Linked DNA regions of Canis lupus familiaris. The protein of the gene in region 2 interacts with the protein of the main gene of each other region in a biochemical or structural test. Links are inferred from orthologs where the notes say so. Each region holds a gene or a part of one and is shown on either strand. Other genes may lie near its edges.

What was found.
Region 1: of the proteins of TOP1 (region 2) and TOPORS, one has a biochemical effect on the other in vitro, tested with the Homo sapiens proteins (2 studies listed by BioGRID). The link is inferred for Canis lupus familiaris from reciprocal best matches to the Homo sapiens genes TOP1 and TOPORS.

The regions. Positions count from the first base shown.
Region 1 is NC_049232.1:50,046,608-50,052,595, forward strand, and holds the start of TOPORS (E3 ubiquitin-protein ligase Topors), read right to left. Parts: upstream 3,524-5,988; 5' UTR 3,345-3,523; coding exon 3,342-3,344; exon of another isoform or gene 3,142-3,341; intron 1,863-3,141; coding exon 1,668-1,862; intron 1,304-1,667; exon of another isoform or gene 982-1,303; intron 1-981. Other genes in the region: NDUFB6 (NADH dehydrogenase [ubiquinone] 1 beta subcomplex subunit 6), read right to left, coding at 4,523-4,591. UniProt on the Homo sapiens protein: Functions as an E3 ubiquitin-protein ligase and as an E3 SUMO1-protein ligase. Probable tumor suppressor involved in cell growth, cell proliferation and apoptosis that regulates p53/TP53 stability through ubiquitin-dependent degradation.
Region 2 is NC_049245.1:29,729,545-29,734,760, forward strand, and holds part of TOP1 (DNA topoisomerase 1), read left to right. Parts: intron 1-720; exon of another isoform or gene 721-1,397; intron 1,398-1,571; exon of another isoform or gene 1,572-1,682; intron 1,683-2,353; coding exon 2,354-2,497; intron 2,498-3,367; coding exon 3,368-3,553; intron 3,554-4,641; coding exon 4,642-4,710; intron 4,711-5,216. UniProt on the Homo sapiens protein: Releases the supercoiling and torsional tension of DNA introduced during the DNA replication and transcription by transiently cleaving and rejoining one strand of the DNA duplex.

The DNA.
Region 1 (5,988 bases), on a different chromosome or scaffold from region 2:
ACATTCAAAAATGGTGATTACATATAGGGGAATGATATCAATTCTAATGCAGAGCCAGGGTGAAAATCAAAACCACTTATTAATGGTGTGATCTGGAGGAAATTATTTAACTTCTCAAAACCTTAAAATTTCTCAATTCTAAAATCGATTAAGTACTAGCGCCCGCCTGAAAAGATGGTTGTGTGAAGGCATATATTACTCTATGTAAACTCTTAGCATGATTAGTATGGGGTAAGAATTTAATACTGTTACCCCATGTGAAAATAAAGTTAATTTTAGTCCTTTCCATCACCTATAGCTGATTATAACAACTCAGGAAAACTATAACAAATAATCTTTTTTTTTAATTTTTATTTATTTATTTATTTATTTATTCATAGAGACAGAGAGGCAGACCCAGGCAGAGGGAGAAGCAGGCTCCATGCAGGGAGGCCGACGTGGGACTGGATCCGGGGTCCCCAGGATCACACCCCAGGCTGCAGACGGCGCCAAACCGCTGTGCCACCGGGGCTGCCCACAAATCATCTTTTTTTCTAAATATAATTACTGCATTTCGTATATCCACGCAAGGTGGCTAAAAAGCGTACAAAATAAGATGCACTAGAATAAACCCCAAGTATTAAAAAATAATCTGGGTTCTTTTTATTACCTTAGCGAAATCACTGTACCTCCTTCAACTGCAATGTAATCACCAGTTCCAAAGGATCATTCGGATCTTAAAGGATCTATTAACCAGGTCTTATAAATTTTAATTCCAATACCAGACATAAAAAGAACTTTTAGGGAACCATTCCCCGCTAAAGCCACTCATTCCAGCTAATCATGATGGTTTTGGCTGACTACAGCTTTGAATCTCATGGACTACAAGCAATAAAAACAGTTAAAAAAAAAAAAAAAGAAAAAAAAGAACCCAAACTTCGCCGTTAACTTAAATCTCGGATAACTGTTAATTTAACTTAAATAATCTTGAAATTTACCTACCGAAAATTCTGTTCCCTTTTGCCCTTAAGGCATTGTTTGCTTCACCTCAGTACTGCCCCCTTCCAGGCTACGACTCGGCAGCCCACGAGGAAAGCCGCCCTGACTGGAAGGACGGAGAAACCACAGGCAGGCGAGCCCGGCCCCCTACGTGTAACAGCACGGTGACAGTGGCCTCCTCCGGCTGAGAACGGCCACCGGCCAGGACCGCAGATGAGCCCCACGTGCATTACATAATCACACGAACTACAACACTGCTCCTCCCGTTTTACAGGCAGGCAGTGAGAGGAGGACGCTCGATCTAACCTCCGGCACACCTCTGAGGAGACGCGAACGCAGTGCTCGCTGCGGGCTCCCCCCCCCCCCCCCCCCCCCACCCCCCCCCCCGCCGCACCCCCTCGAGGCCGAGCTCTTTCCAGTACACCGCCAGGCTCGCGCCCCTCGGGAGGGCTTCTAGGAAACGCAGCCCTCCCCCGCCCGCCGGCACAAATCCACAGGTGCGACACCGGAGCCGCCGGCCCGCCCGCCGCCAGCCCCGCCCCGACGCCCCGCCCCGCCCCGCCGAGGCCCGGCCGGCCCCTCAGGCCCAGATCGCAGCTCCCCGGTGCCGGGGCCTCTTCCCAGGCCCGGAGCGCCGGCCGGCCCACCCCTCCCGACCCCCGCGCCCCATTGTTCCGAATCTCACTCACCTCGGAGGATACCGGCGCAGGCCCGGCTGGCGCGCTCGAGCCAAGCTCCCGGCGGCCCAGAAAGCTAGGTCGATGACGGCAGGATCCGCGAAGGCGCACCCGGCGACTTCGCCGCCGGCCCTCAGGAGCCGGAGCAGGCGGGGGCGCTTCACCCTCCTCGCGAGACAGCGGAGACCCCGGCGGCTGCTGCGACCCCTGTGACGTAAAGCGCTCATCACCAATGGCAGCTTGGGGGGAGGCAGCAGAAACGAGACCCCCTCCGCAGCTCCCCGCGCGTCAAAACACAACACCCGCGTGCGTAACGCATGCGCGGTAGAAAGGCGCCGGCCGGCATGGAGGGCGGGGCCTAGAATGCTCGCCCGAGCCCCGGCCCTTCCCCCCCGCCCCCGCCCCCGCCCCCGCCCCTACTCCGGGCGTAAAAGCTCCGAGAATCGCCCAGGCACAAATCACTAACCGCCACCATCACTCTCGTTACCAGTAGTTTCCGGGGCCTACAGGCGCGATACTTGACGTTCGCTCCTAACTTAGCTTGGTCTCGTTTAAAACTGACCAAACTCTGCGAGAAGTTGCTAAAATTACCTCCAGTGTAAAAAGGAACGGAGTTACTTGGAGGGGAAGGGACCGCCTCCAGTTGCACAGCGGGGACAGAACTCTGGGATTCGAATGGAATCCAGAGCCAGGGCCCAAGCAGTGTCCTACGCGGTCTTCGTAAAGAAATCTACTCCAGCCCAGGGGTAAACAGGCATTACCTAAGAGAACGGGGCCTTAAAATCTTCCCAAGACAAGCTTTTTCCTCTCAAAGGAATACTTTACACTTCCCCATTCCCCGGAATCCGGGTTAAAGCCCTCTTTAGGTGATATCTGAGATGTACAGGGACAGAACGTCTGGGCCTAAGGCGGCCCACTGCCCCGTTCTACCCACAGACCTCACACCAGAGCGTCCCAAAACATTGCAGAGCTGGACTTGCTACAACCGCCCGCGTACAAAATGCCGTCTCTGGCTGAAAATTTGACACGTGCTACCGCCCTAAGCACACAAAAAGCGCTCAAAAAACACTTGTTGATTGGCAGTTACGTTATTTCTTCCACAAGCCATTGCGTTCTCCAAGACTTTTGTTTCAGGAAGAAGGGCTCAATGAACAGGGACTCCCCACCACGACTCGTCGCTGTTATATAAAAGTGGGTGGTACTCTTAAGTCAATGATGAATATGCGAACGTCTCTCTGTATTACGTGGAAAGAAATGCGGGTGGAAATGTTCATCTCTCCGGCGTTAGAAGCCCGTGTCATACTTAAAATGAAGATCATTTTTTTCAAATAAATTTTTAAATGCACACGACGGCATATTATCTTGCACGGATATTGCACTGCAACGGAAAGACCCGTTGACAAGGCACGCCCATCTAAGTGGCGGAAAAGGCCATTTTTAACACGTTTCCTCCTTTATTTTACCCTGTCCCCCCACGGCGAGCTAGGCCCCCGGATCACGTGAGCCCGCCTCCAGCTCCGGGCGGAAGAGGCCGGCCGGGCTGATGGGAAACGCTGCCGGAGGCGAGGGGCGGGCGCTCGTGCCCGGCTGAAAGATGGCTGCCGCCGCTCGGCAGCCGCCGCCCCGGAGGTGACTCTAGGGCCTACAGCTTCCCTCCGTTCCCGCAGGCCGCCGCCGCCTCCTTACCATGAAGCCAGTGAGTCGCCGCACCCTGGACTGGATTTATTCAGTGGTAAGTCCCTGGCCTGGCGGGGCTCCACGGTGTCGACTCCCTAGGCCCGCAGGCGGAAGGCCCCCTATTTCTTCAGCGCCCAGAAACTCCAAAATCCATTCCTGTATTAAGGCTTTCACTCTCTCACCTCGACTCCGCCTCTTCCTGGAAGACACGCTCTTCCGCTTCTTACGTAAGGGCGCAGGGTGTACTTGCCTCCGGGACCCCATTTATTCGAGTTTTTCACTGTAATTCTCACCTTAGCAACGTACCACCTCGGCGACCTGTCGGTGCGGGGGGAGGGAGGGAACTGAATTATCACTTACGTAATTTTCTTGGCCTTTATTCCCTCTCTTGCATTTTTTTAGTTGCTCCTCGCAGTCGTATTGCTCTCCTGGGGATATGTCATCTATGCATCGACAGTAGCTGCACGACGACAGCTAAGCAAGGAATACCCAGACAGATCTTGGGGATGAATATTTGTAATTCCTCTGGATTTAATGCTGTTCACATAGTTCTTTACCTGATGCTTCCCTGGCACGTGTCTAGATATAAAGTAAAATCCATTATGCGATGCTTATAAATTTATTTTTGCGTAGTCCTTTATAATCACCACCAATCTAATTCTCACAGAGGTTTTCTTTTACATTCTTATATAAAACAAACCAACCTAGATCTGACAGCATGTTGAGTACTGGACCATAGATGGAATGACATGCTTTTCAACCTAGAGCTTCTAAAGTACCTCTTAAAATGCCTCAGTCTTCTTTAAAACAGTCTGTGGAATTGCTGTTCTTATACTTGTTTATTGCAACATTTCATTCTGTTGCATACCTTCACATAAGATTAAGTACCATGTAAGAAAAAAAAACTGGCATGTGACTACTTTCTACATCCTGTTTTTCAAGTCAAGAATGGTCAGAAAAAGGTAATCACTCATATTTTTTTGGCTTGTCCAGTTTTTACTTATTGTTAAATAACTCAAAGAGTTGCAAATTGTACAATATTTGTGAAGAAATAGACCACACATATCTCAGAGTAAACTTTATTACTTTTCCAGAAAATATATTCAGTAAATACAGTAATGCATCAATAAACGTGGCCTCATATGCCTTTGAAATTTTTTTTGTATGCCTTTGAAATCTTAAAGTAATCTTCAATGATGTTGATCAGGAAATTCTTTCATTGGTGGAATTACTTCTCCAGTCTCCAGAATTATATCACCCTAAAAAAAAAACAAAAAACAAACAAAAAACAAAGATGCATTAGCAAAAAAATCTTGCCTGCAGAGATGATAGTTTCACTTGGTCAGATCTCACAAGGAAAATGTGGTTCAGTTGTGGCATTCACATTTTGAAAGAGACTTAAAGTAGAAGCTGTCCAAAGATGAGCAATATTCAGAATATTAAAGTATACGTGAAGGTGAGGTATAAGTGAAGGAAGTATAAGGGGAAGTTTCACTCAAAATTTCCAGAGGAGCAAGAAAGTGGTCTTCATAGGTGATAAAGAGATAATGTTTATTTTGTATAGCCTCAAGAAATAGGAAAAACCTTAAAAAGTTATGAGGAAACAGCTTCAGTCCAATAGAAGGAGGTAATGTATTCCCACCTGTTTACTATTTGACTCAGATATGAGAGACAGAATGCAAACTTTGCCTGGGTAGCTGGTTCACTGTTATCTTTTCAAACCTAGATACAATGTATATGGTAGAAAGGGCATGGGCTTTGGAGCCAGAATCAAGTGGTGAGAATTCTGGAACCTTCTCTAGGAAGCTGTATCATTTTAGGCAAATTACTTAGCTTTAGTTTCAGCTTTGTGTTTTAGACAGATTTTGTGAGCCTAACAGTCTTACGAATTACTGGGTAGACTAGAAATAACCCCAACCCCACCCTTGCCATTCCTTGACTTTTATTGTGTGTAAGCCATTATACATTTGGGGAGTAATTTGTTACACAGTTAGCATTACAGTTAGCATTACCTTAAAGTGGTACTAATGCTGCTGTAATAAAAATCAAACCAATGGCACTGGCTTAACATTGGAGGCAAGGATGCTGGAATTGGAGGCTAAAAGATGGGGCAGTAGTAACTTGGAAGCAAAGTGTCTAATGAATTGAGGTTCTGGGAGAAGTAGCTAAAAAAAAGTTATAGTATGTTTGACTACTACTAGCTACCTTGGGAATGTACTTTAAGAAATATAAGCTCAGGCAAGAAGAGGCAGATTTAAGAGGAGATACAAAAGTGGAAAGAAGAAAAAATTCAGGACCTTGCAGTACTGGAAAATAAGACTTTCTGAATCTCTAAAAACTAAGAGCTAACAATGAAGACATATTGAGAAACAGAAGCCCAATAAAACCCAAACAAAAGGACTCTGTCCTATGGCAAAGTTCAGACTGATCTTGAACCAGTTCTTCAAATATCTTCCATATAACTCCATGGAGTTAAAGAGGCAGCTGTATGAGTACAAAGAAATGAGAGAACTTGGCAATTACACAAAGTACAGATGCATGTGAGACTGACTAGAAGCAAATAGACTCCCATCAAGTATTTTTCTTTACATAATTACCAACTGTTGTGGGAATTAGATCAAATAAACATATAGGCAACAAAAGTCTTTGAATGTTT
Region 2 (5,216 bases):
AGGTTACATGGGTTATGAATTGTCAAAACTGATCAAACTATATAACATAAAATCTTTTCTAAAAGATTCAGAATAGGGACACCTGAGTCCTGTATAATCAAGTTAGATTCTTATCCATACAAAAGTTTGGGTAGGGGAAAATGGAAAGGGTTAAAGGCAAGCTTCCTATAGTGGATACCTTGTTTTACTGAGACGGTTTTGATGATGACCTTATCTGGAAAACCGAAATGGGTATTTTATTTTCTAGTAGTCTGAGAAAGCTTGTTCAAGTGTAATTTACTGTCTGCTTAGAGAAACTTCGAAGACAGCAGGGATAAGCATACTTCCTGGAGCCAGCCTTCCCTTAGACCTAGACAAGGTGGCATCTGCCCCCACCCTCCCATCTTTGTATCCTTATTTGAGACTCCTGGATCCTTGCATCAAGAGCCCAGCCATCCTGTGAAGAAAAGTTGATCTTGTGGTATCCTCTGTGAATAACTTATTTGTTGCGTTTTTCTAAACCTTGTTTTGGTGGCATGACTAAGGAATTGGGCAAATGTAACCCTATGGGACTTTGAAGACTTGGAGTAAGGCTTTGGTAGGCCTATGTGCATTAGAGTGATGGCCAAGAGCCGGCTCCTTAACTGGAGACTATACTATTAAAGATGAGTCTTTGATGTCGTGTGTGTGTGTGTGTGTGTGTGTGTGTGTGTGTGTATAAGGGAGAGAGAGAGAAAGACATGATTGTCATGGAAATTTATTACTGACTCGTACATGAAGACAGCTGGTATCACACCTTTTTCTTCACCCTTTTAAATGTCAATATGTACTAAGAAAAATCTGAGAAATTTTAAGCTTCCCTTTGTCAGGAAATAGAACTTAGATATTTCTTCTTAGATATTGTATCACCAACTGCTTAATTGCCCACCCACAACAACAAGTAGTTACTGAACCTCTTATTTTATAGCCAAACAAGTACATACAACTTGGCCACACACAGTTGTGGGAGAGTGCTGATGAATCCTTAGCATACCCAGGTGAGCTTGCATTTCTGAGTGTTGTTAGAGCTAGACGTAGAAGATGTTTCTCACTTACACATAGCTCACTTTCCTGCATGCTCAGAAGGCTAGTTACCGTGACCATGATTATTAAACTTCAAGGACCAATGTCGCATGTCAGATGGGAACTAGGCATATGTGGGTAGAAATCACTATCCCTCTCTCTTGTGGTTGGGAGAATTAAGAGCAGAGATTCTTGGGTTCTTAAAATCCATCCTTGTGGGGGATCCCTGGGTGGCTCAGCGGTTTAACGCCTGCCTTTGGCCCAGGGTGCGATCCTGGAGTCTCAAGATTGAGTCCCACGTCGGGCTCCCGGCATGGAGCCTGCTTCTCCTTCCTCCTGTGTCTCTGCCTCTCTCTCTGAAAGGAAGGAAGGAAGGAAAGGAAAAAGGAAAGAAAGAAATAAGCAAACTAGCTAGCTTTAAAAAAAAAAAAAAATCCATCCTTGTAGTCATGTCATATAATTTGTTTTAGGCCTTAGAATACTCCCTGACCCTCTTGGGATTTCATAGATGTTTCTCCCCCCTTTCTTACCTTTCTCACTTGACATTAGTATCAGTCCTTGCTTGTGAATCTTGTTTCCATTCAATATGGTAGCAGAAATAATCTTCTGTCACTGTTGATTAGATTCAGTCTTTTCATACCCTTTTAAAAACACGTCATTGGCTTTAGAATAAATTTTTAGAACTTGTACCAAAAACTAATGTTTTGAGAAGAAAAAGTCTTCTCAGTAACATTGTTTCCCCTCAATCTAATCAAAAATACTCTTAAATGCAGAAGTTAGAAAATGGTGAATAATTACCACTGTTCCTGGAAGTCTTTGTGTTCCTTAGTAATTAATGTGTTGTGTCATCTTTGGTTCTGCTTCTTGACAGTCCATCAAACTGAATGGTTGTCTTGGATTTGTATTTAATGAAATTTAGTCCTAGCAGAAAACTGTTGGGTCACAGACTCTACAGCAGAGCATTGATGCTGATGTGGGGATGGGGATATTTATACCTTTGTATTGATAGAAGTCCATTTTGGGGACGTGCCATTTGGGCTTTTCCCAAGAACATAATCACTTTACAGAATGAAAGCCAGAGGCTGGCTTAGTAACTAGACAGGGGCCTGTTGTGCTTGACAGTGAAACGAGACTAACATGAGTTCTCACCAGGTTAGATACTCTAAAATTTCTCTTCAGTACTCTTCTTTTTCTACCTTGCTTATGCTCAGGTTCCTTTGGTTCAGAGCTCTGAGCTTGAATATTCAAAGTCTATTTTTACTCTACCATCCCTACACAATCTACATAGACCTTTGGGTTTGGGTCTTTGCAGGGTGAGAAAGACTGGCAGAAATATGAGACTGCTCGGCGACTGAAGAAGTGTGTGGATAAAATCCGGAACCAATATAGAGAAGACTGGAAGTCCAAAGAGATGAAAGTCCGGCAGAGAGCTGTAGCCCTATACTTCATAGACAAGGTGAGCATCTTCCTATCACATTGCCTAATACGTTGGGCTTACCAAATATGGGATTGTTTACATTTCCAGGCCTTGTGCTAAGTACTGGAGCAGTACCCATCTCTGGTCCAATAAGGAGGGTAGAAGTGGAGAGAGAGGCATTTGGAGTCTGCTGGTCTCTAAATCTGAATCTTCTGCAAATACTATGACATTTTCAAACTGAGTATAAGCCACCAAAAAAATTTTTATTTTACGTCATGACCCAACACACATAAATATATTTGTAGTTGTGTGTAACTGCAAAGCTGCACAAAACAGTGTTTAGCCTTTCTACAAGCAATGAATTCTGACATTTTAATTTTTTTCTTGTTTTTAAAAAGAATGGTTATAACCCTTAAAATTGGTTAAACAATCCATGAATGTTTCACAACTATACTTTGAAGGACCATGCTCTAGAGGAGATGAGTTTGTCACTACCTTTTTGAAGATTTTGGTTTCTTTCCCAATTTTGCACTGCTTAGCACAAAATCTAAATTATCTCAAAAATTAAGCAAAATTAGGAGACTACTGAGTCTATCACCCAGAATAGGAATACTCTCTTGTTTGCTGCTTTGTTGTTGTTGTTGTTTTTTTTTAATTTCTTCCTTTCCTCCATTCTTATTTGAGAGAACAGAGTAAAGAGAAGCTTGGTTTTATGAGAAAGGGTAATATCACTATGATTCTCTGTACTTCATTTTATAGAGGAAGGAGCATATAGAATCCAGAATTCCCAAGCCTTGCAGACTGATACTCTATCCCCAGAGTTAGGAGACTTCTGATTTGGATTTCCTAGAGATCGTAGAAAATTGAAGTTTTTTCATTTGCTCTCATTTCTCCCTACTTCCTGGACAGCTTGCTCTGAGAGCAGGCAATGAGAAGGAGGAAGGAGAAACAGCGGACACAGTGGGTTGCTGCTCGCTTCGTGTGGAGCATATCAATCTGCACCCAGAGTTGGATGGTCAGGAATACGTGGTAGAGTTTGACTTCCTTGGAAAAGATTCGATCAGATACTATAATAAAGTCCCTGTTGAGAAACGAGTAAGTTACTTTGGCCTGTGCACCCTGGCCTGTTTTTCCTTCATTTCTTTCGTTCGTTCGTTCGTTCATTCATTCATTCATTCATTCAGCAAGCATATATTGAGTGCTTTTTGTATGCTCTTCACTTGCTGAACACTAGGGAAATAGTTTGAAAGAGAGAGGAGAGGTATTGGTTGTCCTGTGTACCTCCTTTTAGTCCCTGTCCCTCACCTACCACCCCGTGCTACACCTTCCTGGGAATGAGGGCACCATGTCCTAAAGTAACAGTCAACAGTGCATGCTGTAGAGTGTTGGCCCTAGTGGCAAACTTTAGCATAAGATTTAACTCACCTTACTGTAATGATTCAACCACATTTCCATACCCCCGGTCTTGTTGCATATTTGTCATTTTTGTAACTTTGCTCAACCTCTCTCTGAACTCCTGACTGAGCCAAGCAATAGCCCTTTAGTCCTCAAATCTCTGAGCCCATACCCAAAGAGGGCACTGCAGCTCCATGTCCATCCGTCCCCCCCCCCCCCCCCAACTCTTGGGCTTGAACCTGTAATCTAGCCCTTTAAAAGTCTGATATTTAATCAGTCATTAGGCTTTGTTGGCTGTGGCAGTGGTCCATACTAAAGAAGTGCTAAAGAGACATGACAACTAAATGTAATACCTTAGATTGGATTCCATCCTGGAGAAGTAGAGGACATCATTAGGTCAGCTGACCAAATTGGAATATGAACAGTAGATTGAAGCATATATACATGCAAATTTATGAAGCTGATAAGTACTGTGTGAATGCAAGGGAGTATCTCTATCCTTAGGAAGTTCTTAGGAAATACACGGAGATATTTAAGGATAAAGGGCTCATAAATGATTCAGGACAAACAGTTGTGTGTCTACACACATGTATGTAGAGATGGAAGTGAGGCAGACATGTATTGTGCAATGGTGAATGTTGTATAAAACGTTAATGGTCAGTGAATCGGTAAAAGGATGTGGGTATGGGTATGCCTTATGCTTTTTTATTTTCTAAGTTTTTGTAAGTTTGTAATTATTTCCAAAGTAAAGGCTTTTTAAATAATAGGTTCTACTTATTTTCCTTTAGGTTTTTAAGAACTTACAGCTATTTATGGAGAACAAACAGCCTGAGGATGATCTTTTTGATAGACTCAATGTGAGTGGACAGATTGCACGGGTTGAAGGAGGGGCCCAGCCGGAGCCTCCTCACAAGCTCCTAAAGGAGAGGTTTGCCTGGGGGTGACTTGGACTACTATCCCTTCAGTTTGTCCTGTGGCATCCTATACACTGTTCCTTCTGCAGGCACACAGTGAATCCATGACCAAAGCCCTCAGACAGGTGGACAGACCCTACCTTTTATTCTCTTCTGGCTCTTGCAGAGTCGTCTTTTGGCTGGATACCCAGCCATCTCTGAGATTGAAGGCCTCTCCCTATATCTTATCAGGGAAGATCTTAATGGGGGAAGGACAAATTTGCTTTATTGTCCTGCTTAAGATTAACATACTTCATAGGGAGATATCACGCACCCTGTGTTTTGGAATTTTTTTCTAACTTCCCACTGGCAGGGCAATAAACTTGGCAAACTTGAGATTACACTGGTATAAATGTCCTAGGGCTTGCCAGAAGGGGCAGAGTGGTTTAGCTTTTGCATAAATCCCAATA